Drosophila melanogaster: one gene and its partners. The protein of the gene in region 2 purifies or fractionates together with the protein of the main gene of each other region. This does not show direct contact. Each region holds a gene or a part of one and is shown on either strand. Other genes may lie near its edges.

The links.
Region 1: the proteins of sau (region 2) and alphaCOP purify together in Drosophila melanogaster (affinity purification with western blotting; 2 studies listed by BioGRID, with this or other methods). This does not show direct contact.
Region 3: the proteins of sau (region 2) and Chc purify together in Drosophila melanogaster (affinity purification with western blotting; 2 studies listed by BioGRID, with this or other methods). This does not show direct contact.
Region 4: the proteins of sau (region 2) and Rab5 purify together in Drosophila melanogaster (affinity purification with western blotting; 2 studies listed by BioGRID, with this or other methods). This does not show direct contact.

Annotation. Positions count from the first base shown.
Region 1 is NT_037436.4:1,639,855-1,647,385, reverse strand, and holds alphaCOP (coat protein (coatomer) alpha), read left to right. Parts: upstream 1-2,186; 5' UTR 2,187-2,216; exon of another isoform or gene 2,217-2,324; 5' UTR 2,325-2,428; coding exon 2,429-3,374; intron 3,375-3,430; coding exon 3,431-6,189; 3' UTR 6,190-6,320; downstream 6,321-7,531. Other genes in the region: CG17249 (uncharacterized protein), read left to right, coding at 1-1,404; CG13919 (uncharacterized protein), read right to left, coding at 1,449-1,844; Bgb (Big brother), read right to left, coding at 6,750-7,391.
Region 2 is NT_033779.5:2,224,036-2,232,299, reverse strand, and holds sau (sauron), read right to left. Parts: upstream 5,959-8,264; 5' UTR 5,232-5,958; coding exon 5,019-5,231; exon of another isoform or gene 4,995-5,018; intron 4,937-4,994; exon of another isoform or gene 4,696-4,936; intron 3,035-4,695; coding exon 2,907-3,034; intron 2,844-2,906; coding exon 2,725-2,843; intron 2,663-2,724; coding exon 2,487-2,662; intron 2,423-2,486; coding exon 2,174-2,422; 3' UTR 1,201-2,173; downstream 1-1,200. Other genes in the region: Sec24CD (secretory 24CD), read left to right, coding at 1-43, 112-252; CG15387 (uncharacterized protein), read left to right, coding at 6,095-6,241, 6,299-6,502; papi, read right to left, coding at 7,060-7,556, 7,615-7,721, 7,774-8,264. UniProt on the Drosophila melanogaster protein: Phosphatidylinositol-4-phosphate-binding protein that links Golgi membranes to the cytoskeleton and may participate in the tensile force required for vesicle budding from the Golgi.
Region 3 is NC_004354.4:15,832,143-15,837,802, reverse strand, and holds the start of Chc (clathrin heavy chain), read left to right. Parts: upstream 1-2,312; 5' UTR 2,313-2,516; exon of another isoform or gene 2,517-2,575; intron 2,576-2,890; exon of another isoform or gene 2,891-2,982; intron 2,983-3,048; exon of another isoform or gene 3,049-3,171; intron 3,172-3,431; 5' UTR 3,432-3,638; coding exon 3,639-3,680; intron 3,681-4,103; coding exon 4,104-4,311; intron 4,312-4,549; coding exon 4,550-5,660. UniProt on the Drosophila melanogaster protein: Clathrin is the major protein of the polyhedral coat of coated pits and vesicles.
Region 4 is NT_033779.5:2,358,858-2,367,735, reverse strand, and holds Rab5 (Rab5), read left to right. Parts: upstream 1-2,462; 5' UTR 2,463-2,675; intron 2,676-2,781; exon of another isoform or gene 2,782-2,899; intron 2,900-3,014; exon of another isoform or gene 3,015-3,423; intron 3,424-4,231; exon of another isoform or gene 4,232-4,331; intron 4,332-4,954; exon of another isoform or gene 4,955-5,061; intron 5,062-5,880; exon of another isoform or gene 5,881-5,997; intron 5,998-6,150; 5' UTR 6,151-6,307; coding exon 6,308-6,576; intron 6,577-6,643; coding exon 6,644-6,764; intron 6,765-6,934; coding exon 6,935-7,103; intron 7,104-7,166; coding exon 7,167-7,267; 3' UTR 7,268-7,280; intron 7,281-7,342; 3' UTR 7,343-8,170; downstream 8,171-8,878. Other genes in the region: Axud1 (AXIN1 up-regulated 1), read right to left, coding at 1-1,415.

The DNA of each region.
Region 1 (7,531 bases), on a different chromosome or scaffold from region 2:
TATGCTGCCAGTTCTGATGAAGATTCGGAGAACGAAGAGGAAAATTCTGTACCACAAGTGGAAGTAATAAAACCCCAAGCCAAGCCGAGCACACCAAGTGAAGCGTATCTAGCTCGGGAATCAACCAGTGGTCACATTAGTGATGAAGATGACGACTACGTTCCCCAGGAAGTGTCCCTTCAGGAGTTAAAGCCGCCCAACGGAAGACTGCTATTAGCCTTACCCAAACCAAAAGTCACTGCTCCCGCTAAGGATCTGGAAAATGAGGATGTGGACAACCAGGTTACTTCCGCCTTTGCCAACCTGCCCATGCCACGAACAGCAGCGAAAGGAAAAGCCATTGTAGAGGAGAAAGACGATGAGTTTCTGCACAAAAAGGCGCTGCCCGTAGAAATAGAGAAACCTCCACCGCCGCCAGTCAAGGGAAAAGTAAAAATCAGCATTCCTTCACTAAGAGATTTCTCAGATGTAGACCAGGAGAAAGCTGACAGGGCTAAGAACAAAGTTGATAAGCCCAATGTACCCAAGGGATCGGGATTGTTGAGTCTGCTGCCCCAAGCAAAGTCGGAGCGCAACTTCTCCAAGAACTCTTCATCCGCGGTAGCCTACCCATCAGCCAGCACTACTCTTGCTTCCAGTCTAAGCAATAATCCTGCGCAGCCTCGAGCAGCACCAGCTTTTGTTCCCGATACAGTTAAGCAGCGACGAGCTGCACACAACACCGAAGGCGTAGATGGCCCTAAGGCCGGGCACAAGAAGAATCCTGAGACAAAAGACGCTTTGAAGTCAACAAAATCCAAACCTATAAGTAAACCCACTTCGCTGGTAAATGCCAGCGATAGTGAAGATGATGACGAAGATGGCACTGGAGACTTTTTCTCCCTGAATTCCGAGCAAAAGCTGCCTGAGGTGAGCAGCAACGAGATTAGCGCTCTAGTGGCCAAGCGAGCGGCCAAGATGGTGGAAGCCAGTAGCAAGTACCTAGAGGAGGTAGCCGAGAAGGAAGCAGCCGAAGCAGAAGCCGCCCGACTTCAGGAAGAGCAGTCTCAGATTGCACAAAAGCGCTACCATGAGCAACAGTTAAACGCAGAGGCCATGGACGCATTGGTGGGCAAAAATGCCAAGCGCCGGCGGAAGGAGGCCAAGGAGATGCAGGTGATCGACATATCTGGGTCTCAGGTGCTACCTGATCGCGAGGAATGGATGCGATCGGCTCTGGCTTCGTCCACCACCTTCCAACCGACCGGCGTGCTGACGGACGAGGAGCCGGTGGCAGGGACTCGGCGCAAGCACCAGATCACCTACCTGGCGCACAAGGCGAAGGCCAACGAAGCCGAGCTGCAGGCCATGTGGTCGGCCAACCGGCAGACCCGTCGGGCCACCCAAAGCAAATACGGCTTTTGAGTTTTCACTTTATGTACACCTAATCCTACAATATATGCTTAATATTACTGTATCCAGCCCTCTCGTTTTCCCAGCCTGCTGCCAACATAGAAGATGGCGGTGCTCAGCAGCAGGATGACCGGGGCAACGGTCACGTATATGGGAATCTGTTGCGGGTACTCCAGCGTTAGGCAGATCATCACTTGGGAGGCGATGGTCAGCAGGACGCCGGCAATGTTCCATTTGTAGAGGAACAGGAGATCCGTCAGGCAGGTTAGGTTCCGCCACTTGCGGATAAATTTAATGATCACGTAGATGATAATGATCACATCGAAGAACCAGAGTGGCGTAAAGGTGACGAACCAATTCCAGGTGGTGCGTGGGTCCAGGCGGAGACACAGAAGAATCAGGAAGACCAGGACGATAAACCAAGTGAAGAGCGCCCGGTGTGCCAGTGTCATCTTTGTCACTTATTTATATATTTTCCATGGTATTACAGAAAATAAACAAAGCGAAGTTACCGTGAATAGAATGCACTTTGTCCAGTGCTGTAAAACTACGATTACAGTGGTCACTAAAAGTGTTCGTAGAAATACATTTACCAACTCAATTTTCGAATATTATTGACGAAGATTAAATATATTCAAAAATATCACGTAAAATCTGTATATTTAACTATATAAAGAAGACTGGAGAGCATGATAATTCATTCATATTCATGTGTGTACTTTTGAAAACTTATGGTTCCCAGTGTATGCACATCTGCCAACGCTGGCAACACTGACTGGGTCGCGAAGAAGAAGATAATTGACGTGTCACAATTTCGACGATTGGTTGGTGTTTTTCATAAAATTAATTGTTGGCAGTATATTACGTGTTACTTGTAGCGTATCAATAAAATGGGTTTGTTCTAACACCCACCTCTTGATGTTTTGATACAGGCAAGTGCTCGAACCAGCAAAAAAAGGGCGCTTGACGGATAAGCCGACACCTAGAAGTGCATCCAATTTGAGACACCTACAGGCAGAACAGAAAAAGTGCCACCATGCTGACCAACTTCGAGTCGAAGTCGGCGAGGGTGAAGGGCCTCTCCTTCCACCCTAAGCGCCCCTGGATCCTGGTCAGCTTGCACAGCGGCGTCATCCAGCTGTGGGACTACCGGATGCACACGCTCCTCGAGAAGTTCGACGAGCACGACGGACCGGTGCGAGGCGTGGCCTTCCACCAGCAGATGCCGCTCTTCGTCTCTGGCGGCGACGACTACAAGATCAAGGTGTGGAACTACAAGCAACGCCGATGCATTTTTACCCTCCTGGCCCATTTGGACTATGTGCGCACGGTGGCTTTCCACCACGAATACCCATGGATTCTGAGCGCCTCCGACGATCAGACCATACGCATCTGGAACTGGCAGTCGCGCAACTGCATCTGCGTGCTGACGGGCCACAACCACTATGTGATGTGCGCCCAGTTCCATCCCACGGAGGATCAGATCGTTTCTGCTTCACTCGATCAGACGGTGCGCGTGTGGGACATTTCGGGGCTGCGTAAGAAGAACGTGGCTCCCGGGCCCGGTGGGCTTGATGACCACCTAAAGGGTCATCCGGGTGCCACTGATCTGTTTGGCCAAGCAGATGCCGTGGTCAAGCACGTGCTCGAGGGCCACGACCGTGGCGTCAACTGGGCCAGTTTCCATCCCACCCTGCCGCTGATTGTCTCCGGTGCCGATGATCGCCTTGTGAAGTTGTGGCGCATGAACGAGTACAAGGCTTGGGAGGTCGACACCTGTCGCGGTCACTACAACAACGTGTCCAGCGTGTTGTTCCATCCCAGGCAAGACCTGATTCTCTCCAACGGCGAAGATCGCAGTATTCGCGTCTGGGACATGACCAAGCGCCAGTGCCTCTTTACATTCCGGCGGGACAACGAGCGCTTCTGGATACTTACAGCGCATCCGACCCTGAATCTGTTTGCAGCTGGCCACGATGGAGGTTAGTTGATTTCTTTTAGGAATAGGAATTTTTTGTAATGATACATATTCTTTCAGGTATGGTGGTCTTTAAACTGGAGCGAGAGCGTCCTGCATATGCTGTCCACGGGAATATTCTCTACTACGTCAAGGAACGTTTCCTTCGCAAACTGGACTTTACCACCACTAAGGACACTGTGGTTATGCAGCTTCGACCAGGCAAGTCGCCGGTGTACAGCATGTCGTACAACCCAGCACTGAACGCCGTGCTAATCTGCACGCGCACCAACAACCTGGAGAACAGCACCTACGATCTTTGCCAAATCCCCAAGGACACCGAGAGCCAAAGTGAGTCGGACAGCAAGCGAAGCTCTGGAATCACGGCCATCTGGGTGGCACGCAATCGGTTTGCAGTGCTTGATCGCAACCAGCAGTTGGTGATCAAGAACTTCAAGAATGAGGTGACCAAGAAGTTGCCAACTTTCTGCGAGGAGATCTTCTATGCCGGTACGGGAATGCTGCTCATTCGGGACCCTGAGTTTGTCACACTGTACGAAGTTCAGCGCCTAGTCTCCGTTGGAAGCATTAAACTGGCCAAGTGCCGCTACGTGGTGTGGTCTCCGGACATGTCCTTGGTCGCTCTACTCTGCAAGCACTCGGTTACAATCTGCGACCGAAGACTTCAGTACTTGTGCACCGTGCAGGAGAACTGCCGCGTGAAGTCTGGCGCCTGGGACGAGTCTGGAGTGTTTATCTACACCACTAGCAACCACATTAAGTACGCCATTACAAACGGGGACCACGGCATCATCCGTACGCTGGACCTACCCATTTATCTGACACGCGTCAAGGGCAACCAAGTGTTCTGCTTGGACCGGGAGTGCCGCACCCGTGTGCTCCACATCGATCCTACGGAGTACAAGTTTAAGCTTGCCCTGATTCAACGCAAGTACGATGAAGTACTGCATATGGTGAGAAATGCCCGCCTAGTGGGTCAGAGCATCATTGCTTACCTGCAGCAAAAGGGTTATCCAGAGGTGGCACTGCATTTTGTCAAGGATGAGAAAACCCGATTTGGACTCGCTCTGGAGTGCGGTAACATCGAAATTGCTCTCGAAGCAGCCAAGGCTCTCGATGACAAGGATTGCTGGGATCGCCTGGGACAGAGTGCGCTGCTCCAAGGAAACCACCAGGTGGTAGAGATGTGCTACCAGCGGACCAAGAACTTTGACAAGCTTAGCTTCCTCTACCTGATCACCGGCAACTTGGAGAAGCTCAAGAAGATGAACAAGATTGCCGAGATTCGCAAGGATGTTTCCGCCCAGTACCAGGGTGCCCTCCTTCTCGGTGACGTCAAGGAGCGGGTAAACATCCTCAAAAACTGCGGACAACTTTCGTTAGCTTATCTCACAGCCGCTACTCATGGATTCGATGAGCTCACTGAGTCCCTGGGCGAATCGATAACCTCGCAGGGTAACAGCCTTCCCGAGGTGAATCCCAATGCCCAGTTGTTGCAGCCACCAGTGCCCATCCAGCAGCTTGAAACCAATTGGCCGTTGCTGTCCGTGTCCAAGGGCTTCTTTGAAGGCGCCATGGTCACCAGGGCTGGCTCCAGTGCCACTGCCCGACAGGCGCTGAACATCAACGCCGATGCTGCACTGTTGGACGAGCATAATGGTGGTGGAGATGGTTGGGGAGCGGATGCCGACTTGGGACTAGATGAAGACGGAGATGACGAGATGCACGACGCGCTGAGCAACGATGGCGATGGTGGTGCGGGTGGAGAGGAGGGTGCCGGCTGGGATGTGGGCGATGATGACCTGGTTGTGCCCGAGGAACTGGCCTCCAAGATCAAGGCCTCAGCCCTCGACAGCAACTACTATGCGGCTCCCAACAAAGGCTTGTCTCCTGCCCAACAATGGGCCAACAACTCGCCTCTGGTCCTGGACCATGTCAAGGCCGGATCATTCGAAACCGCCTTCCGTTTACTGCACGATCAGCTGGGAGTGGTCAATTTCCAGCCATTCAAGACACTCTTCCTGCAGAACTACGCCTGCTCTCGAACGAGCTACACGGCCAATCCGAATCTGCAATCCCTAAGTGGTTACCCACTTCGCAACTACTCCGAGACAAACATCAAGCTGCAGCGTCCTGCGGTTGGCATTAAACTGAATGATTTGGTGGCACGCCTGCAAGCTGGGTACCAACTGACAACTTCTGGAAAGTTCTCCGAGGCAGTAGAGAAGTTCCATTCCATCTTGATTAGCATCCCACTGCTGGTAGTGGACACGAAGCTAGATGCGGCGGAGGCCCAGCAACTCTTAAGGATCTGCGCTGAGTATATCGTTGGCCTGAAGATGGAGACTGTGCGCAAGGGCATGCCCAAGTCGACGCTTGAGGAGCAAAAGCGTCTGTGCGAGATGGCCGCCTACTTCACGCACTGCAAGCTTCAGCCCGTGCACCAAATCCTCACCCTGCGTACCGCCCTCAATATGTTCTTCAAGCTGAAGAACTACAAGACGGCCGCCTCATTTGCCCGTCGTCTCCTGGAACTGGCGCCACGACCGGACGTTGCCCAGCAGGTGCGCAAGATCCTGCAGGCCTGCGAGGTAAATCCCGTGGACGAGCATCAGCTGCAGTACGAGGAGTTTAATCCGTTCACAATCTGCGGCATCAGCTGGAAGCCACTGTATAGGGGTAAACCCGAAGTGACCTGTCCCTTCTGCTCCTCCTCTTTCGACCCTCAGTTCAAGGGCAATCTCTGCACAGTTTGCGAAGTGAGCCAGATCGGCAAGGATAGCATTGGCCTGCGCATTTCAAACCTGCAATTCCGCTAGGACGGACTAGCTTGTCGCTTTTAATATAAATGTTTCCAACACGCCGAGCGAGACCCCATAGTTTAGTTTTACACGATCCTTGCTTATTATGTATAAAGTTCAGTATCTGTATATTATAATGCTATAAAATCAAACCAAACGACTTGTTTTCTTGATCGATACCTAGCCTCGGTAGGCAATTCCCAGTGAAGAGTCTTAGTCACTCTGCTTAAAGGTGGAAATTCCAAAATGAACAATGCCATATAGATTAGTAATTATGTATTTTAGTTAAAGATACGACACTAATTTCACACTAAGTTGTAAGTATAATACCATAAAAGCATACGTAAAGTAAGCATTACATCTAACACTAATCTAGGAGCATAATTATTCGAGCGTGTCTAACGTAATCGTATTGAAATCTCTCAAGTGAAAGCCCTCTTAAGGGGTTCGGAGCATTCTCAGTTGTCCATGAAATATTGAGTATTCGCGAATTGAGTCTCTAACTGCTGGTGATGCGTCTGCTGCTGCTGGGGAGGCAGCTGCGGATGGGACGGCCCAGGAGCCGTCCACAGGTCCAACTAACGACGCCACATGCTGGCGCCAACGCCAATGCCTCCGGAGGCCACGCCCCGTCGCACTGCCTCCATCTCGTCCTGTCGATTGTCACGGTAGGCGCGCTTAGTGTCCTCGAACTCACGCAGTCGCTGGTTGTAGCGATCGATCTGATCCCGCAGAATGGCGTCCTCGTGCATGGCGCGCCGCTCGTCATACTCCAGACAGCCAACTCCGTCCAGTCGTTCCAGGTCTATCCATCCACGGAACCGGACACAAACCCCGTTCATGATAAAGTAGGACTTGATGTGCACCTTGCCGTGCTCCTTGTCAAAGTCGCACTCCTTGTCGTGCAGGTACGGGTTCTGGTTGGCGTTGAACACCAGCTGCAGATTGGTGCCCGATGCCACGAAGCTGGCCTCCGTGTGTCCTTCGCGACATCCGTTCATGAAGCGCACCTGCCGCTCCTCGATGCTTCGTTCCCGATAGCCCGTGTACCGAACCTCGCTCTCCCGACTGAGCCTCCGGAAAAGTTCGTCGCTCTCGAACTTGGACTTCTGGTCCGGGACCACACGAGGCATCTTGAAGATGAAGCGCGGCTTTGGCTGTTCATACAATCCGATGGTGTCGTAGGGTATCATATTGGCAAGTGCCGCCTCGTTCATCATTTTAACGGGTTTTCGCGATTCGTCCGCTCGATGGAACGCTGAATAGGGTATGTTTCTATGGGTGCTTCTGCAGACCGCTGCGTGCACACAATAATCCCTGGAACTCGGTACCCTGGATGGGTTTCTTTTGGTCGCTCCTT
Region 2 (8,264 bases):
CATCCTAGAGCAGATCATGAAGGAGCGCTCGCGATACATGAGGGTGCGTATTTGCAGTGATCAAATCTTTGCCTTCGTGGAAATGTGTAACGATCTTAATCTTTTCTTCAGATAACTTGGTTGCGGCAGAACGACAAACTGGAGAGCGTGTTCCGACACTTCCTCGTGGAGGACCGCGGTACAGACGGTTCCGCCAGCTACGTGGATTTCCTGTGTCACATGCACAAGGAGATTAAGGATCTGCTGAGTTAGCACGCCGGCTACTCCGGCACATACAAGCCCGAGCAGCGATGGGCGGACAGTTATTCCCAAAACAGGGCTCGGATGCGTCGTCTGTCGTCCATGCGCAGTCGCCTCGGAAAATAAGAAATGCAAAGGGTTTAGGATCAGAAGCAGAAACTGGCGCTGAAAGCTGTTGGAACTTCAATTATATTTACATCAAAATACATATACATATATATTAATTAATGGCTATCATTTCGAGCGTATCAATTCTTCCATTAATTTTATTAAAGTTTTCATATTTTGCTTTGTTTTACTTTATATATATATATTTGTATGTATTTTTTTTGATCGGCTGCGCTAGAAACGAAACATTTGTTAAACGAGGCAACTGCTTATCTGCAAAATTAGAAAAAAATTATTCTCTTATAAAATTCCATGAATATGTTTAATTGTAATTACAAATTACTTGCAAATTTTCCACAGTTGAAAACTGCTAGTTGATTTAACGGATAGTATAAGAGCACTTCTTTGTTCACATCCTTTTTGGCCTAATGTATTTTTGCAATAATTTGTGCGCTGCGCCCTGCTTTTTATCATACTTTATGTCATTGAAAGATTATTATATTATAACCTAAATGTTTCGTGTGAGAATTACTCGACTTATATGGTATATTGCCCCTTCAACTATCGAAAGAAATGCAAACACTGCAAAACAAAAACACATTTATTGAGAATGAAAAACGGAATAAAAACTGTATTAAAAAGCGAATCAAAAATTGGGCTATGCTTTCAAGTAGATAAGTTAAATCGGATTGGTCGTCACACCGGAAAGAATCCTATTTCTCCTCCGACGATTGTCCACTTTTGCTTTCCCCCTTTTATTAAAACTCATCACCCATTTTTCATTAAATGTTTTATATTTTTCCTCTGATTTATGGAGGGGTACAACCGAAATTGCAATAAACTTTCAATTTTGCGTCAGTTATATATTTTATATTTGTATTTTATTAGGCCTTTAAATATCTAAGAATTAGTATTATTTGACGTGCACAGTTTACATTTACATAATTTTTCTTTTCTTGCTGTCCACTTCTTGTCGTTCTTTATTTTTCTTTTAGCAGTTAGAAAAGGTTTTTCAACTTCAATGTTCCCGAAATTCAATAACAATTTAAATTAAAACATTGCCTAGATTGAATGTCGCTCCGTGTCAAATTGTCTGCATGTCTGTCTGTTCATGTGGGTGGGTGCATACTTAAGGTCGAACGTACTAAGGTAAAATTGCGGAGCTCGAGAAACGTTTTGAACTGATTTTCTACGCGCAATCGAATACATGGAAAGGGCTCGAAAATACTTGACAATCAAAAATAGAATTGAAAAGTTTTGATAAAATATATATAGGATATTTGACAATAGACAATCGCACGCAGCTTGCCCAGACTTTATCAAAGTTTTCTTGTTGGCGCTTACAATTAGTGCTAGATATATAATTACAAAAACAATGCTGCAGCTTTAAATTTTCCATCATACATTTTGATTTGCATTGCCAGAGAAATCATCAACTAAACTCTATGTGTCGTGGAACACAACTTACTGATTATGATTGCAAAACATTGGCATGTATTATTATGCTCAACAGAACAGGAAAAAATTAAAGGACAATGGAGCGTTTGATTGGTATTATTGAAGTGTTGATAAACATATGTATATTTAAATAGGAATTATGGCTGCTTTATAGTCTCGCTTAAAAAATATATATTACTGAAACAGATATTTGGGGTGGTTGCCATTTAAGAAAATCCTATCGCCCGATTCGGTTCCACTCACAGCAAAGTTTCTAAAACAAAAGCAGCAAAATGTATTCCAGATGTGGGTCTGTATTTCTGTGTTGGGGTGTGTGTTGTGTGTGTGTGTGTGCTATTGAGAGGAGCGTAGAGGATCAGAGGATCGTCTATTTCGTGAACGCCATGAACACCGCCCACAGAATTTCGTTCGCATTCGGCTTGGCCGACTCGGCTTCGAAGTCGAGATCCAGCAGCTCCCGCACCCGCTTCATGGCCACCTCATAGTCGTCATCATTCAGCGGCGCGAAGGCGTTCTCGATCACATCGCTGGCGTGCGCCAGGAAGATAAGCGCCAGCATCCGCTTGTCCATGCGCTGTGGATCGTTGACCCACTTGGAGAGCACAGAATCTTGGATCTGAAGTCATACATTTCGGATTCAGTTTTAGAATTCTTGAATATATCCAAGTCTAGTTACGCACCTTCTTCACCAGGCGACATTTGACAACATTGTCGCTCAGCGGATGTGTCGTCATATCGAAGAGTAGAAAATTTTGCTTTTCCGTCGTGAGCACACCCTTCTCCACCAGATTTTTGGCCAGACGTTCGCGTACATTTTTCAGTTGGTAGCGCAATTTCAACGGATTCCAGGTTTCACCTGCCACAACAATAGGTTATACAAAACATACTTGGCGAAATGGCAGGCGCCTAAATACACACCACTAAGATATTCAATCCAGCTCTGCACCGTCTCCGGGGGATCTGTTTCCTTAATGTGTTTAAGTGCCTCATCGAGTAGAACGTCTCCCGTCTGCTGATCCGATTTCAGTATTAATTTCCTGTTGGCGAATTGAAGTTAGCATGCTTCTGAAAGGATGTGGAAACTAGATTTCTATACATACCTTGTACATAGACCACGTCGCCGCATTCCAGATTTCTCGATCATCACGCGACCTCGCAGTCCAAGCTCTATGAGAATGCATCCGCGCAAGCCGCTTGATATGCAGTCGTTCCAGAAAGATGTGTAGCCCTGAAAGTAATTAAAAATGCTATTAGATTCAAGCTATTTGATTGGCCTGGATGGGCATCTAAAAATAAGAATGTGTGAATGCGTTACTTGTTTATTTTTTAAAATTTTATTAAATTCTATCTAACATAAATGTAAGTACAAACTTCATTAACAAATGGTTACTGTCTCATGTTTCAAGGTTTTGAAATATATTTGAGCAAGTCTATGGTTTGGCCTTTTCACTTGTGTTGGGCGTAAAAGAAATGAATAATTACCCTGTTGCCGGGGTCGTAAAGCTCCCAGACGAAAGTATTCAGTTGTTAAAACATTAAACACTTGAGTTTGTTTAGGCCTTGCCCACAGAAGTGTATGAACTGTCAATTTAAAAAATACAATGCTTATCTAGCTAGTATAAATGAAAAAACGAACAAGAAGAGTTATGTTATAACCACATAAAAAATCAATTACAAAAATTACTCTTGTTATTAACGCTTGAAAAGCTATGATAATTGGAAGGTATAGATAGATACCTCAACCACGTTTCAATGCCATTTCACGATTTTAAAATAATTTATATAACAATCGCTCAGATGATTGATAAGGAATCGTTCCGAACGAAAGGTATAAAAGTGAATCATTTGCAAAGAACACGTCGCTTATCAGTTCGGCAGTTCGAGATATTGAAATTTTCCTAATGGATGGTGTGGGTAGAAGCCAAGTACTTTGTATAATTTCGAAAATGAGTGACGTACTGACATAAGAAAAGCCCGAAACGGATGAGAGCTAGGCAGAGGAGAGCAGCACTTGATAGTATGTACTTCCTCAAACAATTAACCAAATGGACAAAATCTTCGCGATAAGAGCGCTCGGAAGGGGAATGTAAAACAAAAGCGGGCAACACGTCCCACTGTTTCCAGCTCGTATCCCTCTTATGCGAAGGGAGAGGAGGTGGCAGGGATGGAGGTGTGGGTGGTCACACAAATACACTGCGGGCAAAATGATGAAAACAAATAGACGTGGTGCCAGCCACAAAGGCACATGTGTGCATTCCTATGTGGTACAAGCGAACAGCAATTGAGCGATAAAGCTGTGTGCCAAGTGAAATATAAAAACCGAATTCAATGGAGAAATGCGAATCTGCCTGTTCGCCATAATGGGTCACGTATGGATGATGGTTCGCATTTACGGACATCATCCCGCGCTATACGTAGATTTATGAATATTACAAACCTATGCAAATTAACCACTTATTGGAAAACTCGTTTGACGAAACCGTTCTCCGTGCTGCGCGGAGTGAAGTTCTCGAAGAGATATGTATGTATTTATAGCCACAACTGCCAACCGAAGAAGTATTAGAGCGCTATCTTTCCAACAACTAAGAACGTTGGCAACAATTCTAAGAATCTTTTTGATTTGGCACTGGAAGCAATTGCGCGATAGTGTAACACATAAAATAAACCTATTATATACTATATATAAATATATCATCACTTATTTGGGAAGTACATCAAAGTATTACAAAGGGCAAGTAATGGGTTCTATAGATTAGAATGAACGGCTGATTAGACCTTAACAGATGGAGCACACTATTAATTAATGCAAAAACAAAAGTGGTTAAGAAAATGGTGTTGGCAGTCTCACTGATTGCGCATTAGTCAGCAGGCTGGTCAAAAGATTTCATAGTGCATTGCTTAACAAACTGGAAAAGCTAAGAGAAGTGGCTAAGACATGGCATAAAATGTTTATCTGTAGGACAGATAAACATTGTTGCCCCCATAACTGAAGTGATAAGTTACCCCCCTGTATCCAATTTTCACTACGCCCCTGCTGGAAGATGGACTGCGTTGCACTTGGGGCCAAGCAAGAGGTTGCGAAAGAGAGAAATCGTGAGAGCGACAGAGAGAGAGAGACGTCGGTTAACAGGTGAAGAAGAAGCACTTATGTTGCGAAAGAAACCAATTAATTAGTGCATCCCAAGCAGATAAGAGATAAGGAGCACACCCACCTCCTTGTCCTTGAGTCCCAGCAGCAGAACCTCCTCCATGAGCGTTAGTCGTGTTTCCTTGGAGTCGCCATCGTCGATATTGTCCTCCTGGTCCTTTAGGTTGTCCAGTGCATCCTGGTTGTCGTCCGGCGTGTTGGCATTCAACCCACCCTCCGCCCCACCGTTTTCGCGGGGTTTCACCGAGCGACGCACCAATCCGTCGGAGCGATTCATTCCGGAGAGTTGGGTTGGGTAGTCGGGAAGTTCGGATCGATGGAGTTTTGGAGATGTGGGATGCGAGCGGAGCACCTATGTTTTTCTGCTGCTGCTCTTCTTCCTCTTTCCTCGTTTTGTGTGTGTGGCACAATTTGCTGACTCGACGTTGGGAGTTTCACAGTGTGTGTGTGTGTCTGTTTGCGCGAGTGCGGGTGTTTGCGTTTTTCTCTGTGTACTTGTGTCTTGTGTTTTTGTGTGTTGTTGTTTTCACTGACTCTTTTGCGCCCCCTTTATTTTGTATTCTTTTGCACACACGCACTTTTCACACTATCGCAAAAATGCAGGCCCTAAACTGCGTTTCGTTGTTGCTGCTTTGCTCGGCGTTTTTGCGCTGGGAACTCGACGGTTTGATTTACAATTTGGTGGCCCGTACTAATGGTGCATTTGCATTGGCCTTGCATTTACTGGGAATATGCGAGTGCCTGCGCGAAATAAGCTTTTTCCTATTATTTGTGTCTTTTGTCGACGTTCCGACGTGACATGATTTCCGCACTTTTCAGTACTGGCAATTTTCCAGACCTTAAGTGTTGGATAACGTTTTGCTTCTAGAGGTGCTGTTAAAACGAAATTAATTTAACTTTTACTCTTAATTTTTTGTAATTCAGCTTAATTTATTTAATCGTAAAGTTTTTGTTTGAATGATATTACAGTTCCTTGTCCATACTAAGGGTTTGGTAATGTTATGAATCCGAACCGATAGTTTGTCCGATAGTTGTAATCGCTGTATGACTCATCTCTAACGGAAACACAAAATAAAACCTACTACAATTTGTTGCATTTTGCCTAAATTCGTCACAAACACTGCCGTTAAAACGTTTATAATGTCCTACTTGACCAATTTCAACAGTGATACTGCCAAGCAAATTCTTATGGACATAATACGCTGTGTAAATCAGCCGGAAAACTCGAAGAAACTCTCAGAGGCAAAGGCTTCCGCTGGAAAAGAGATGATTCTCATGATGCAGCACGTAAATACCAAGCAAATCAAAACAAATAACCAAATAGTTTAACATAATACATTGCAGGTTTTTCCATTGGTGATGCAACTCCAACTGGAGGTCATTAAGGGTCATGGGTTTCCTGGAAACCGCGAGGGATTAGTCCAGTTCTCCCAGCTCATCAGAGAAATGGAAAGGGACGACATGGAAATCGTACGCCTGCGCAGTCAGATCCGCGCCATATACCTGCCCCCCATAGCTATAAACACCACCAACGACATCCTAATCTAAGCGTGGGGTAAATCCCCCAAACAAGACTGCAATTCTGCCCCCCGGTGGGTTTTTTAATATACTTTAAGCGACTTTTAATATTTGTAGCCCTTTTCATTTGAAGAAACTATATTCATTTTCAATTATGCCTTAACGTCATCTAGAAAATCTTATTTTCAAAGAATATTGAAATACTTCTCTAATACAGATTTCTGAAACAGGCCACCAAAATAGACTTAAGCTTGATATTCTTATAAAATGCATTTCTTTTGATAAGTTTGTGATCTTTTTTGTGTATTTTTTGTTGATGTACAAATGTTTTTCTTGTTCTTGCTAACAATAAGTAACATGGCAAAGGTTGCTATAAACAATTAAGGATCTGTGCCGTTCCATCGTCAGCTTTTAGGATCTAGGATATGTCGATCAGTCACGGCGATAAATTAAACAGTTTTCTTTCGTACCTATACAATAAGTTCCTTAAGAGCTATACTTTTATGTACACGTCAAGTAGTGAGCTGCTCGTCCAGCCTTCATCTTATAAACAATTAGGCGAGGATAATTAGTAACAATGTGAAATCCTAATGCGCGCTAGCACCATTTGTGGTGCTGGCATTATTGTTATTCCCGTTTTCGAGGTCTGTAGCCGTCAGTTTAGCCGGATTAATGTTTTTTATGTCGTTTCCGTTCAGTTTATGCTGCAAATGCTGCAGCTGCTGGGCGAGGTGCTCGTTCTCCGCCTGCGTAATGCTGTCAACATCAATGGACATCGACATAGGTGAGTGGGGCGTAAGCGGAGTCACTGGATTGCTGACGCACAACTCCTCAATGGTGGAGTCGCTGTTACTTGAGGGCGTCGAGGAGCGTGACCGCACTGGATACGAATCGTCCAGGGGCAGAGCAAAGCCCTGGGTGATCATCAGATCGGCAATATTTAGTTCAGAGTTGTCGGCTGGATCGAATAGTTCCACTCCGGGCAGCGGGGTTCCCTCCTTGGCAGCAGCACTTACAGCGGTGGTTGCCCGTGGACGCTCCTTGTAGGTCACCACTCGAGCAATCAGCTTTCTCCAATGTGCCACTACAAATGTTCGGTGTTTAGTCAAAAATATATCTAGCAACTGTTGCTGAAATCATACCCTCTGTCAGCTCTTCGAACTTTGCGATTGAAGACTTTGGCCACGTAATAGGCTCCGTCTGGATGGTAGATTTTACATTGGCCAAGAAGCATTCAACGGCTTGGAACCTAAAATAGTGAAATATAAATTTATGTCTATCCAATCAGTCGAACTGCTTACCTGAGCGTGAGGAAATCAGTGCGCAGCTCGCAGATATCAGCTGGCGAAATATATTCGCTATCTCCATAGTCCACGAAGTAGAGATCGATCACCTGCTCCTTTGGATTGTACTGGTTAGGCATAATGTCCACGATTTCTGCGCGATACCACTTCTCGTCGAACTTAAACACGGCTGCCACAATCTGACCCACATATGGAGCAGTCAGCACGTGCTTGGCCCTGTTTTCAGCACTACTATAATAGCTGGTCATCTCCTGGACCATGCTATCGAGCTTCTTGGACTGCGGTCCGATAAGCTGAACCCAGAATTTAGTGGGCGAGGCCACCGCGGAGACATAAACCTCCATTGGCTTACCCTCGCCCTTGGAGGCCATTAGCTTGTCTCTGGGCTGAGTGTGAGAGCTTAGGGATGTCTGGGAGGAGTACATGCTGGACGCAATGCTGTTGGTGGGAGATCTGCGGGGCTCCCGACGCTGTTCCACCTCCTCCAT
Region 3 (5,660 bases), on a different chromosome or scaffold from region 2:
CTGATACGAAAGTCACAAAACACAAAATGTTATTTTCAATGCCCACTTGATCAGAAAATTTAGAAACTCACAGATAGCAAAGTTTCTTAGCATTTTAATAAATATAATTTAAATTTATATTATAGCTCTACATACACACCAGATGTTCAATCAGATTGACATTTCTAAAGAATTTCTTTCTTAAATACTTTATAATACTTTGTGATGATTTTCATTTATGCGCATTGAATCGTTGTGGGAATCTGATCGGCTGGGATCATTTATCACGCCATGCAGCGGATGTAGCAGGATATGCCGCACGATATGATGCTGCATAAAGTGTCCTCTGATCGGTGATCGTTACACAAACCGCATCCTGCGCAGTTACTTTTTATGGGACAAAACCCCATTGTGTGGATGCTACCAAATGTCCTGGAAATCGTAACGAATCCACGCATTCCGACCAAGGTATCCCCGCAGCTGTCCGGCGGAATCGTGTGATCCTGTCGCCCTGCCATCGCCGGCACCACAAAGTTCGCGCCCATGTCGCGGCCGCTGTAATCCTTCGATTACATCGTTACCTCACGGCGATAATCTTGGCGGGGCTGTATTATGGCGTTAGAGTGGGCGTGGCAACATGGATCTCAACTTGGGACTCTCAACCTTCTAGCTTTTATAGTTCTCGACGTTCATACGGACAGACGGACATGACCAGATCGACTCGGCTATTTCTCCTGATCAAGAATATATATATATATATAGATTATATGGTCGGAAACGCTTCCTTCTGCCAGTTTCAACGAATCTTACCCTTACGAGTAACGGGTATAAAAAATTGGAACTTGCATTATTATTGGCTCCCACAGAGAAGGGTATATTATTTGAATGACAACAACGTTTCAATGTAAATATATATTAAAATAATCTAGGTAAACATGAAAACGAAGAAAAATAAAAACAGAATTTAGTGGTATCTTTATGTTATCAAAATGAATATGATTGACAAAGCTCAGAGTCCGCAGCATTCTGCCATTTATCCTGGGCTTCCTAGATCCCAAAACCGAGTCGTAAGAACGTCTGTATATACTGTAGAAGAAACTTATATTAATAAAAGAATTTCCCTGGGAAACGAGGAGTTTATCAGTTTACCTTATTCTGTTAGCGACGGATCCTCTCCCAATGGCCCTGGGTTGAGGAATCCTGGGCGGGTGGGACGCCTAGCAGGAATGCGGCAGACTGCGAACGGCCAAAGCATCGAGCACTGGTCAAATTCGGACAATCCAGCTGGGTTTTTTACCACTGCAATAATGAAAAACTTTCAGAAGTCCTCAAGGGATTGCTCATGGTAGAGAGTGACATCGCTTTTGCTTTTAATAAAAGAATTTCCAAATTTTTGTGCCTGCAGGACAAAAATGATTATGTGTACCTTTTCGACAACTTGCTGAGGTGCTGGACCCTTCGCCCGTTCGAAGACTACCGCAAATCTGCGAGCGGGACGCCCGCAATATTCGTCTAGCTCCTTGCCCCATCCTTTGTCATGCCCTTGATCAGTCAAGTCAAGACGGTATAGATTCTATCGCCAAAAGGTGCTTCAAAATCGGATACTGCTGCTTACCTCATAGATTAAGATTTTATTGTTGGGACTCGGTTTTCCAAATGATAAAAACAATAAAAAAAATGTTTGGAGCAAATCCTAAAGTTGTTGTTTCTGTAGCACATTGAGTGTAAATGTCAAAAATAGTATTGAAAAAGAACAAAGTTAAAATCATCGCCTACTTAAAAATAGTATTGCATAGGAACAATGTTAAAATTATCGCCTACTTATTATCCAGCACTTAAGCAAGATAATTAATGTATATATATTTTTAAAAATTAACGAAAGAGAATGCTTTAGTCCCGTTCTCCGACTATCAGATACCCGTTACGCAGATAGTGTGAGTGCAAACGTGAAATTTAATAATTTTTTCTGGGGTGTGTTCTGTTACTCTACGAGTAACGGGTATAATAACTTCACATTCCAAATTAAATTGCTATAAAAAATAGATTTCCAATTAGAGAATATATCCAATTGGATCACTCGATAACACCTGTTAACCTTACGTATGTATTATGATCTAAAAACTTGTTATCGGCAAAATATAAATGAAGCTGATAAAATAAAATAAATTTGTTGTTCCTTACAAAGTTATACTACATTTACCTAAATAATAATTACATTCGAATATTATGAATAAATACGTGTAACAGTAGGATCGTGCGATACAAATATCGATTCGAATGTTGAATGTGGTATCGATGTTTTTTCACTCCACGCAATTGCATATTTGCCGTATATATCGGCATTAATTGTATAACTTTCACACCTCTACCTTGTCTTGCAGTCAGTATTTAGTCAAACAAAAGAAAAATAAACTACATTTGTTAGAGCTTGATAAGAGCTCAGTTTGTCTTCAGTGTGTGTGCCCGTCATCTAGCAACAAACCGACGTGATTATTTCGAGTATGATAGTACTTAGCGTACATTTTTGTTAAATTGCAGTAAGCATACGGGCTCCAAATATCTTTCGATTCATTGGGAAAAAATGTAAAGTGCTAAAGTGCGTGTGTGTGTTCGCTTGCAAATGCAATATATACATACAAATTTTGTTTATTTGATGTAAAAGCATCCGATTAATTTACCGTTTATCTAATTATGTTCTTGTTTATGTGGCATATTGCGGCACTGCAAGTGTGCGCGCTCATCTGTGAGTGTGTGTGCGCGAGTGCTGCTGTGTGCGTGTGAATTGGGAATTACCGCTACTCAATTTGATGTATATACACCGAATTTCGTCAATTTCATGGCATTGTCCCATTGTTATCAGGCGCAAAACAGTGATATTTAAATGCGATTTTCGATTTTCATGCACACACAGGGGGAGGGAAAACAAGAGCAAAATTGCTGTACATGTATTAGTCAGTGACTAATTGTTCAAAGCGCAACTCAACATGGCTGACTTTTTCTGTGGTGAGCAGCGATTTTTGATGATAATGCTGCCTCTTTTCTTTTCAAATTCTCTCTCTTGATTCGCTCTCACTCTCTCTCTCTCTCCCTCGCTCACCTCAAATAAAATAAAGTGCTGGTAATTTTCCCGTCGTAACGGCAAGTGCAAAAACGCAAGAAAACGAATAAAAATACCGATACAAAGGATTAATCGTAGGAAATAATTTCGTCTATATATTTTCTTGCACAAAAGCGATTGGGGATACAATAAGAGACTCGGTGTTTTATTTTAAGGGCGTTTACATCCATATGTACATACATATAGGCCTTTATCTTTCATTTTTTCATCCGGTGACGCTGTCACTTTCTATCAACAATAAAATAACGCCCACAATTTGATTTTTCCTCATTCTTGCCGCATCAGTGCTGTCCATAACTACATGTTTTTCCAAAATCTTTTGTCTTTCGTGCAGCTAAACGTTCCAATGGAAACCGAATCTTAAACCAGAAACCGACTAAACTCGAACGCAATTAAACAACAATAAATCCTCGAAACAAATCAAATACAAACTGTTACCAAGTGTGCAATTCAAGAAAACATCGTATTGGCATTGTTTTCGCAAAGATACATTTACGTTGTAAAGGTCTGTCAATAACTAGACCTCACTGTAGTAGTAAAGATGACGCAACCACTGCCCATCCGCTTTCAGGAGCATTTACAGGTGAGTAATATTAAATATTTTGGATCTACCATCATTACATATCCACATACGTACAACCCACCAATATGCCACGATTACCTACGATTATATCCGATTCATAAGCTCCCCACTTTTCTTATGAAAATTTCACGGTTTCCAGCTCTAATTCAACGTGTAAACAGAAAATATGGGGGCTTAGGTCGAGTTTCTACTTTGCTATACCTTCTATTCAAGTCTGTATACAGTGTATTTTCTATAGAACTAGTTATAATACAAATTTACATCTAAACTTAAGCAAAGTATTGCGAATATTTAATAGTAAATGTGGGTCAATCCAGGCCAGTTCAATAATTAATAATGAATGATTATATTGTGTAATGAGTGCGTATGCTATGATTTTCGATTTATCAATTAACACACATTTTCAATCTCCACTACGGACAGCTCACAAATGTCGGGATCAACGCCAATTCATTTTCATTCAGCACGCTCACGATGGAATCGGATAAGTTTATTTGCGTGCGGGAGAAGGTGAATGATACCGCCCAAGTGGTCATCATTGACATGAACGATGCCACCAATCCCACGCGGCGTCCCATCTCAGCGGATTCGGCTATCATGAATCCAGCTAGCAAGGTCATTGCGCTCAAAGGTAACTGAAACCGATGGTCCAGTCGATCAGAATGTCCGAAGAGGATCAGATTTTAGCTTAAAGTAACGTAGGCTTAGTAAACAGGTCCGCTTGTTATTACAACGTGTCTAGAAAACTTAAAACCTCACTTAAACTTTAACTTGAATATCAAATAGTAAGGAAAGAGATCAAAGTTTTTTTCCGGTCGACTGGGATAATGCATTTTTGAACATGTATAACTTTAGAATATTTCTTTTAGCGCAAAAGACGTTGCAGATCTTCAACATTGAGATGAAGTCGAAGATGAAGGCGCATACCATGAACGAGGATGTGGTGTTCTGGAAGTGGATCTCCCTCAATACGCTAGCTCTGGTCACAGAAACGAGTGTGTTCCATTGGTCCATGGAGGGCGATTCGATGCCGCAAAAGATGTTTGACCGGCATTCATCGCTGAACGGTTGTCAAATCATCAACTACCGCTGCAATGCCTCCCAGCAGTGGCTACTCTTGGTCGGCATTTCGGCACTGCCAAGTCGCGTTGCCGGTGCCATGCAGTTGTATTCGGTGGAGCGTAAGGTGTCCCAGGCGATCGAGGGGCATGCGGCCAGTTTTGCCACGTTTAAAATCGATGCCAACAAGGAGCCGACCACGCTGTTCTGCTTTGCAGTTCGTACGGCCACTGGGGGCAAGCTTCATATTATCGAAGTTGGTGCTCCGCCGAACGGCAATCAGCCGTTTGCCAAGAAGGCTGTCGATGTCTTCTTTCCGCCGGAAGCACAAAATGATTTCCCTGTGGCTATGCAAGTCTCTGCCAAGTACGACACCATCTACTTGATAACCAAGTATGGATACATACATCTGTATGACATGGAGACGGCCACGTGCATATACATGAATCGTATATCGGCCGATACGATCTTTGTTACCGCACCGCATGAGGCAAGTGGTGGCATCATTGGCGTCAATCGCAAGGGACAGGTCCTCTCCGTGACCGTCGACGAGGAGCAGATCATTCCCTACATCAACACCGTTCTGCAGAATCCCGATTTGGCCCTTCGCATGGCCGTGCGCAACAATTTGGCTGGTGCCGAAGATCTCTTTGTGCGAAAGTTCAACAAGCTCTTTACAGCCGGCCAGTATGCTGAAGCGGCTAAAGTTGCTGCCCTGGCACCCAAGGCCATTCTGCGTACGCCACAGACGATCCAGCGTTTCCAACAGGTGCAGACACCAGCTGGCTCCACGACTCCGCCGCTGCTGCAATACTTTGGCATTCTCCTCGACCAGGGCAAGCTGAACAAGTTCGAGTCTCTCGAGCTGTGCCGTCCCGTCTTGCTGCAGGGCAAGAAGCAGCTGTGCGAGAAGTGGCTGAA
Region 4 (8,878 bases), 130 kb from region 2:
GCTTCGCGAGTACATCCGCAAGGAAACATGGCTCGATCTACTTGACATTTAATGCCCGCCTGGCTGCAGGCACAAGTCTCCGGATCGCAAAACTCTCTGCAGGAGCAGCCGCACACTTCCCGGGAGTTTCTGATATCGCGGCATTCGCTCTTCTCGCTGGCATCAATTTTGCGCACGCCCGCCGCTTTCAGCAGTGCCCTTCTCTGCTTGGGCGTCACCGGCTGTAGGAAGCCATTGGAACCGTCTTCGGCATCGGAGCCACTACCCTCGCTTAGGTAATCCTCCTCGGACTCCTCGCTGTCGTCACTGCTGGAACCCCGAGGCTGGAGTTCTTGGTTCTGGCTGCGATGTGCCCGCCTCAACTCCGCTGCGTGCTCGGCCAGGGTCATCGTCTTAAAACCTACATGCCTTGCACCCATGCCCAAGGTGCATCCGCCCGCCGTTGGTACACAACTGAAGCCCTGTTGTCGTGGGAAGTAGAACACCTTCACCTCGTCAAAGTTGATGGAGCGCTTAGTCCGCTTCTGGGGGGCTACTGGAGGGGCAGACATGTCGGGCACCAGATCTATAGCATCGCTTTCCGAATCTTCGAGTCTCCGTTTAAGGTTGGACCTTATGGGCTTCGTTTCCACCTTTTTCTGGATTTCCGGCTCGGCTTCTTTCTCCGCCTGATCCTTGAGTAACGCGGAGGTTTCACTTCCTAAACCAGAATCAGACCCACCATCTCTAAGCTCATCCTCTTTCGGTTTGGCTGGCTGGGCAGGCTCCAATGATGCTTGGTTGTTGGACACCACCTCCGCTGATCTGGTGGCCATTTCCGTCTCATTGTTCAACTTCAGCCAAAGAAGTTCTCCACTGGTGTCGACCTCCTCGTTTGTGGTGACCGACGCGGAGTCAAGAATGTTGTCAATTGCCAGTGGGTCCTCGGAGACTGCGTCGGAAGCTATTGAAGAGTTAAGATCCGCATCGCCTAGTACGATTATCTCATTATTAGGATAGTTCTCCAGCTCAAGGAACTGCTCCTCTAGTTCGGTGTCCGCCGGGCCGTGAGCAAAGTCCGCCAGTTCATCATCGAGCTGCTCAAGCGGCATGGGTAGGGAAGCCAACGCCTTGGCTTTCGCTGCGTGCACCTTGCTGGCGTCAATTATGGAGGTTTTGATCTGCCTCTCGATGTCGTCGTCGTCATCGTCCAGGTGGGGAAATATTTGCAGCTGATGCTGCCGCTCCTCCGGTTCGCTCTGATTATCCTTGTGATCCAGATGCCGCTGATCCTTCCTTTCGCCTTCGTCGTGGGCAGTTAGGCTGGTGGTCCCCTCCCTTTGGCCGGCGGCCTTGTTTCCTGATGGGCTAAACATATTGGAGCCGCTCGCATTTTTTTGTATGTACGTAAATATTTTTTTTATAGGACTAAACATGCTATCCGTGTCGAGGTCCCTAGATCATTGAGTGTCCTTTGGTCATCTGCAAGAAAGTAGGAGGAAATGGTTTTACATAATGTTGCTTGGAAATTTCCTTCGCAGGTAGCGAAAACGTATAGATCAGGTGTGTATGTACAGTGTCCATTCGAGAGGGAGAACTGCCGGGAATGCGAAACTTTATTTCTGAGTAAATTAATTACACCTGTTTACGTTTCGTAAGAGCCCCTGACCAGGTCCTAGATCCAACAAACAAATTGCCAAAAGCCTAATGAGTGTACCTTTTACAACTTGTGTAAATATTTAGAAATATTAATTTAGCTCAAGTATTAATTTTACTGCTCGCAAGAAATCAATTGTTTTCTGTGTACGTGTAATGGTTTAAAAATATATATCTTTCGCTTTAATGTTCCGCTCACTTGTATGTTCGCTTTTTCGAATGAGCACTGTGCTTGGATGGGTGTGCGTGTGCAGAATCCTTTGAAATCCTGGATCCCCGAGAATTTCGCACGCTAGAAAGGAGACCACCCGAAAAGTAGACATACCGCTAACCAAAATCAATATTGATTAGCTTCTTTTTTTGGGGGCCCACCTTTGCGCTTATATTTTCGCAGCCAAGCCAACGGCCGGACTCGCAAGATCGGTGGGATTTATCCTTTTTGCAATTTGCGTTGCAGCTGCGATAAAAAACTGAGAGCGAGAGAGATGACGAAAGACGCAACTGTGTGCGTGTGTTTGTGCAAGTCTGTGCGAGTGTGTGCGTGAAGGAGGCGAATCAGGACACAAAGGTCGGTATTCTTTTATTAACACAATCACTTTACTATGCGCCTGGCAACGCCCAAAATTATGATTTATTTTTTAAAACTCATTTCGCACTTCCGTAAACTTTTTCTTAATTTTTCACTTCTTCTTTTCTCGCAATGTTATTACTTCTTCTATTCAGTGTGCCCGTCGCTGGACCCCTGCAACATGACAACAGTCCTGCACCGATCCAAATGTACTTAAAAATACCAGGCAAAAATTGATAAAAGTGTATACGATAGAGCGTGATAGATAAATGTGACTCACTAGTAGATGGTGCGTGTATTTGCTAAGAAATAATTCAGAAGAAAAATTAAAACAAATTCACCAATGGAGCCGGTTCCTGCAAGCTCATTGATTACATAAATTCATAGTAAGACAATTATTATGTAAAATATACCCGTTTTACGATTCATTAGTTGACTCGTGCAGCAAAGAAATATGTTTTGTATATTCACGGTAAGAAATGTTTATATTAAAATTTTATTTATATTGTGTAATATGTTGGTCCCACTAATCGATAGAAATATGTATCGTTGGTTGGAGCCTCTGCTAACGAGCAGAGCTTAGGATATGTTTGGCATATTCCAACAGTCGTCCTGCGGTCACACATAAAATTCCAAGAAAGTTGTAAGTTAAGTTTACTAATAAACCAGGCGATAATTTCGCTAGCCATTAGCAAGGCAAGGAAGCTAAAAAAGACAAAAATCTTTGGCAAATCAATGGTGACGTCGCCCAGGAAGTTAATCGACAAAAACACGACCTGCGACGCGACGATAATTTTGCGAGAGGCGAGTCAGTCGCTATCTATCTCCCTCTGCGCTCGTTTCGTTTCGTTTCTTGGGGCTGTTTTGGGGCACACAATTGAAAGGAAAAAACGTAAATGCAAATGGTCAACTGGTCTCCAAGTGCCGCGTTTAGAAGAGTGCGTAATTCGGCGGAAAGTCGAGTGCTTTTGCGTTGTTGTTTTCGCTCACCCCTCGTAATTAATTAAGAAAGTTGTGTAAAATTTTTTCGCCCCGTCCGCCATAGTGCGAGTGTAAGAGCGAGCGCGATAGATGGCCCTGAATTTTGGGTGCGTTGCCCATGAGAGTGGGCGCTAGAGCGAGACGGCCGTACGACCTGCTCCAAGTGCAGCGTGCACAGTGGGTCGCAAGGCCTAAGATAGTTCACGAATCTAATTGTGAAGAGATAAAGAACACTGCAGGTGCACTCTGGTATGGAGTAAAGCTGGCAAAATCGGATCTTGGCCCGCATTATCACCCAATTTATCAGCGCTTTACACGCCAAAACGGATCAAAAATCGCGGTTCTTTGTTCCGCCTGTTTTGCGTCTTTAGTTATGAGAGAGAGTGTGGGTGTGTGGTGTGTGTGTATTTATCGGCAATCCGTTCCCTTATCGTGCAAGTTTCTCAAAGAACTGTCTTTGTCTCTGATGTTTCTATAAAGCCCAAATGTAAACAAAAACGCATCCTTCTATTTGTTTATTCTAGACCTTTTCGCTCGCTTTGCAAATGGAAGACCCGCATTTGTCAAGCTATACATATTTACGGAGTGATGTGTGGTGTGACAGTAAATATAACGCTAATTGTATTCTCCGTTTTCTAGACGTGCTTCAAATATGCGTGCTGAGAAAATTGCACTTGTTGACTTTTCGAGTGAGGCAATTCCACAGTCAAGCTCACGTGAATAGGGCCATGTTGATATAATGAAAATGTTTTAAGTTTCCAAAGGTGGATTTAAAACTTAATTCATGCTTAAAATTAAGCACAAGCTATGTGGACGTTCTTCTTTATTTCATATTTATATTAAATATCTTTAAAATCTAACATAAGATTTGTAACTTAATTCCACGTATTACAGCTATTTGATTGATAAAGGCTGTGGCTACGTATGGTTGTTGTTCTCGCTCTCATTCTCTTTTTTGATTCACTTGCATTTGTATTAGTCGCGTGAATGACGCATCGTCAGCTGTTCTAAAAGAACCGTAATTTCCTGAACGTTGTTTTATATTTTATTGAATTTTCCGCAGACGGGCGCGAAAGTCACTCCTGTTGTCCAAGTGACTTTAAAGTTTAATAAACCGCATTAATTACGGTTCGAATTAAAATTAGCGGTGAGTTATTTACTGACAGCTGTCCGCTTCTCAAGGAAAATTTTGCATTGGCTTAGTGAGACACACTGCTTGTTTTAATTAAATTTAAAGTGCAGTTTTCGTTTTGGCTTAGACGCAAAAAACAGCAAAATACGTCATTCGCTGGATAATGAAAAGTAATTGTAGGCGAAATTTCTTTATCGCAATGAGAGTGCGGTTTTCGAAAAGAGAGACCAAGTTGTCGGCTTCTGTATGTGTGTGTGACTGTGCACTTGGCTCCAAAGTCTCCGGGAAAAAAACAATTGAATGATCGGAAGGGAGGGGGAGAAACAAACAATTGTTGACTGACTGCATTTTTAATGGCAAAGAGAGGGCCTGCATATTTCGCTCTCTCCCTCATTCCTTGTTAATTTAATAACGCCGCACAGCGTACATGTTTGTCACGCTTTTACTTTCTCCACGTCTCCCCGTTAATTTATTTTGCATTGATTTTTATCACAGCTTCCGCCCTCACTCTGTGAATTCTCTTCGCTCTGCGCTCACTTCTCTCCACAAAGTAAACAAGACTCGTGTAGAATTCCATACCCCGATCTTCGTAGATTTATCTCCACTGTACAGTCTGGCTTCAATGTGTTAATTAATTTCTGTCGGAATTCTGAGATTCCCGTCGTCGGTCATAAAAACGAAAAGCATGTGAACGATACTTTGTGAAGATTTGAAAACGACTTTAGCTTAGTTAATATATGCAACAGTAAATATTTTTAAACAATTTTAATGATTACTCTCTGTTTAAAACGATATCTTGTTTCGGGATCAACGTATCTGTGGGACATCGGTAAAAGTGTAGTGGCCAATGGGGCGTATGATTCATAAAAGTGGCACTGATAACAAAAATACTGTGAATGCCACACGCATTACCGCTGAATAATGCGAGGCGTCCTCTGTGTTATGTACTATTATACACATATGTACACAAATTCACCCGCCCTCGAAATATTTTCCACCAGAAAGTGTGTGAATTATCAATTGCGCGGTAGCCCCTAGAGGAGCTGCAATAAATATCTTTTACGATAACTTAGATTTCCCGCACAAGGGACCGATAAGAATGTTGTAGTTTCGATTACTTGTAAACCCCTTATCTGCCACGAAGAAAGGGAAAAACAATAATTGCGCCTAGAAAGCGCATATAAGGTTTCCCCTTTGTGTTTGCCAAAGTATTTTTAGTTGTTGATGGATTTGTATTTGCACATGTAATTAAGAATGTTTGTGTTTGTGGATGTTTGAAGCAGTCACGCAAGGAATTTTCTAAACACAACTCATAACATTGAACATCTAATCGTGGAACAATTGCTTTCACTGATTTTCCTATCACAAGCTTATCAGTACTATTATGTTGCCAAGTGACACAAATAGTAATGATATGTTTTCGGATGTGTAACACTTATAAATATAAATATAAATAAACTAATATAAGCTCTAATGTGAGTTTTTGTAGGGCGTACTGCTTTCAATTTCAATTGAATTTATCAGTGACCATTGGCAGACGCTTCCCTTTTCCTCTGTTTCATTTACTGATGGAAAACGTCGGCTTTTTGTGCATATTCTCGGATATGTACATATTGAACTGGGCTTGTCGACGGCGTCATTAAACAAACAAAGGCGCCACACAATCATCTGATGGTTTTATGTGGGTTTTATATTCATCCACATGGGCAGCATGTTTTCAAGGGGACTGAGTTTAAGCCCTAAAAACGTACCATTATGGCAGAAGAATTGGAAGCACTCAATTTCGTTTTTATCCGTCTCCATTATAAATATGTACATTATTTGTATTTTGCAGATTCCGCATCCACACTCAGCAGCAATCTTAGCAGAAAGACTTACTCAGCAGAAGAGGGAGTGAGTTGCAGTAACCGTCCGTAGAACCAAATATCAGTTGCCATCTCAGAGGAGGAAGAGCGCATCCACATTCGCATCCGATCCAACCCGAACCGATCATGGCAACCACTCCACGCAGCGGCGGTGCCAGCGGCACTGGAACGGCGCAGCGGCCCAATGGCACCTCGCAGAACAAAAGCTGCCAATTCAAGTTGGTGCTCCTCGGCGAGTCCGCTGTGGGCAAGTCCTCACTGGTGCTGCGCTTCGTCAAGGGACAGTTCCACGAGTACCAGGAGAGCACGATAGGTGCGGCCTTTCTGACACAGACTATTTGCATAGAGGACACTGTCGTTAAGTTCGAGATCTGGGACACGGCTGGCCAGGAGCGGTAAGTATCGCTGGATAGATCACCCAACTGAAAGCTTCATCTGACATACTTATATTCGCTTTTGTAGGTACCACAGCTTAGCTCCCATGTATTATCGAGGAGCGCAGGCCGCTATTGTCGTCTATGATATACAGAATCAGGACAGTTTTCAGCGTGCGAAGACCTGGGTCAAGGAACTGCATAAACAAGTGAGTGTCAGCGGGGAAACTTGAATATCGTGCAGAGTGTTTTAATATTATAATCATTTATATTATTGCTCATGAAGTGCCTCAGTTCAATATTCTTAACTCGAGAAATTCGTTCACTTGATACGTAAATTATATTACATAAAATATGTATTAATAAAACTTTTTTCCAGGCCTCACCAAACATTGTCATTGCGCTGGCCGGCAACAAGGCAGATTTGTCAAACATTCGCGTCGTAGAGTTCGATGAAGCGAAGCAATATGCCGAGGAGAACGGGCTGCTGTTCATGGAAACCTCCGCCAAGACGGGCATGAATGTGAACGACATCTTCTTGGCCATTGGTAAGCTATAAGGAGCCGTCGTAAACGCTTCGAAAACTTTGCTAATCACTACCCCAACCACAGCCAAGAAACTACCTAAGAACGATGGCGCCAACAATCAGGGAACCAGCATAAGGCCGACTGGAACCGAAACAAATCGACCGACGAACAACTGCTGCAAGTGATGTCCCTTCGTAGGTAAGTTAATTGCGTTGGAAATACGGTTGCATTACTAACACAGTTTTTTTTTGGCTTTACAGAAAATGAAATTTCCAACGAGAGATTTGAAAAGTTTATGCTGATAATTATAAATAAAAAAATTATTTAAAAATTCAACAGAATCAGAAAGAAATACCTAAAGCCGGCTCTCGCAGGGGACGAATTTCATTTGAGAGCCACGAAACCAATAATGATAAAGACCACATAAGAATTATAAGCATTAAACAAAGGAGCTCCCATTCCCAACATAAACGAAAGTTGCAATTAAAGAAAGTTAGTTACAAATTCCCACACCCGATTTCCCCCATTACGCTCGATATCTGTCCAAAAAATATACAAGCAAACTGACACTCACGCAATTGAGCTAAAATATCAGTATAATTCCAACATAAACCATTTCAAATAACAACGCAAATTAATAATGAAAACTAAACATGAGAAGAAAGCGCAGGGTTTTTGGAGATTTCATCGTGTCGTAGAAAGTTTGAAATCGTATTGTATAAAAAAAAGAGAGAAACCCCGAAACCAACTAAGCGAGCAAAGAATATTTGTAAAGATTACATGTCGTGTAAGATTCTGAGCATTAAGTAAGGGGCAGATTCCAGTTGCAGTTGTTCTCAGCAGCGTTCCAAATAAAACAAACAAAACAAACAAACACCACAAGGAGCAAATGTTCAGGCCAGCGGCTGAAGATCCTCGCTCGCCTCGGTTTGTGGCAATGTGTGTGTCTCTACGGCTCCGGAGCTCGGACTCCAGATCCGGATACGGACGCGGATGATTCGACTCCGGGTCGCGGCGGACACGTGTGATAGTTGCAATTTATATAAATTATATATACACATATGAAAATGAAGGAAAACGAAAACCACAAAAAAAAAAAGAAAACCAATTATGCATACTTTTAGATTTTTTTATTTTTCAATTTCGCCTTGCGTTGAACTATTTTCCACATTCTAGCAACAATCGAAGATTTAATGCTACTATCTTTAAACGTAAACGAGAACGGAGATACTATCGTAATCCATAAAAATTAAACTTACATCTAGTATGCAATTAAGCGGAGAGGAAGTAAAGTGAATTAAAATAAATAAATAAAACAAATCGAACAACACAATACCGTAAACAACTTGTTTAAATCGTTCCACAAACATCAAAGATCCGATGCATATTTCTTTCCAATTCGTAATTTTTATGTTGTCTGTATGTATTTAAATTTAAAATTTATAAATTATAATAAATGAAAACATCGTATATACTTATATATATATATATATGACTGCGTATATACATATATGGTCATTCGATTTGAATCGACAATGAGCTCACAATCGCTTTTGTATTATGGGTTTTCAAAATATTAGCTCATGGCTTTATAAAAAAGGTAATTTAACTTTTTTTTAGCAGAGAAGTTCCTTTGCGGCGGAAAGACATTGGAAAATATGTTGCATCACCACTTCCCAAGACTCCCATGAAAACATAAGGCAGATTTTAGTTTATTAACTTTTCTAATTCCCATTTTTTTATTTGAAATTATAACTGATTAAGATGTCTCTCGAAATAAATACATACTTAACTTA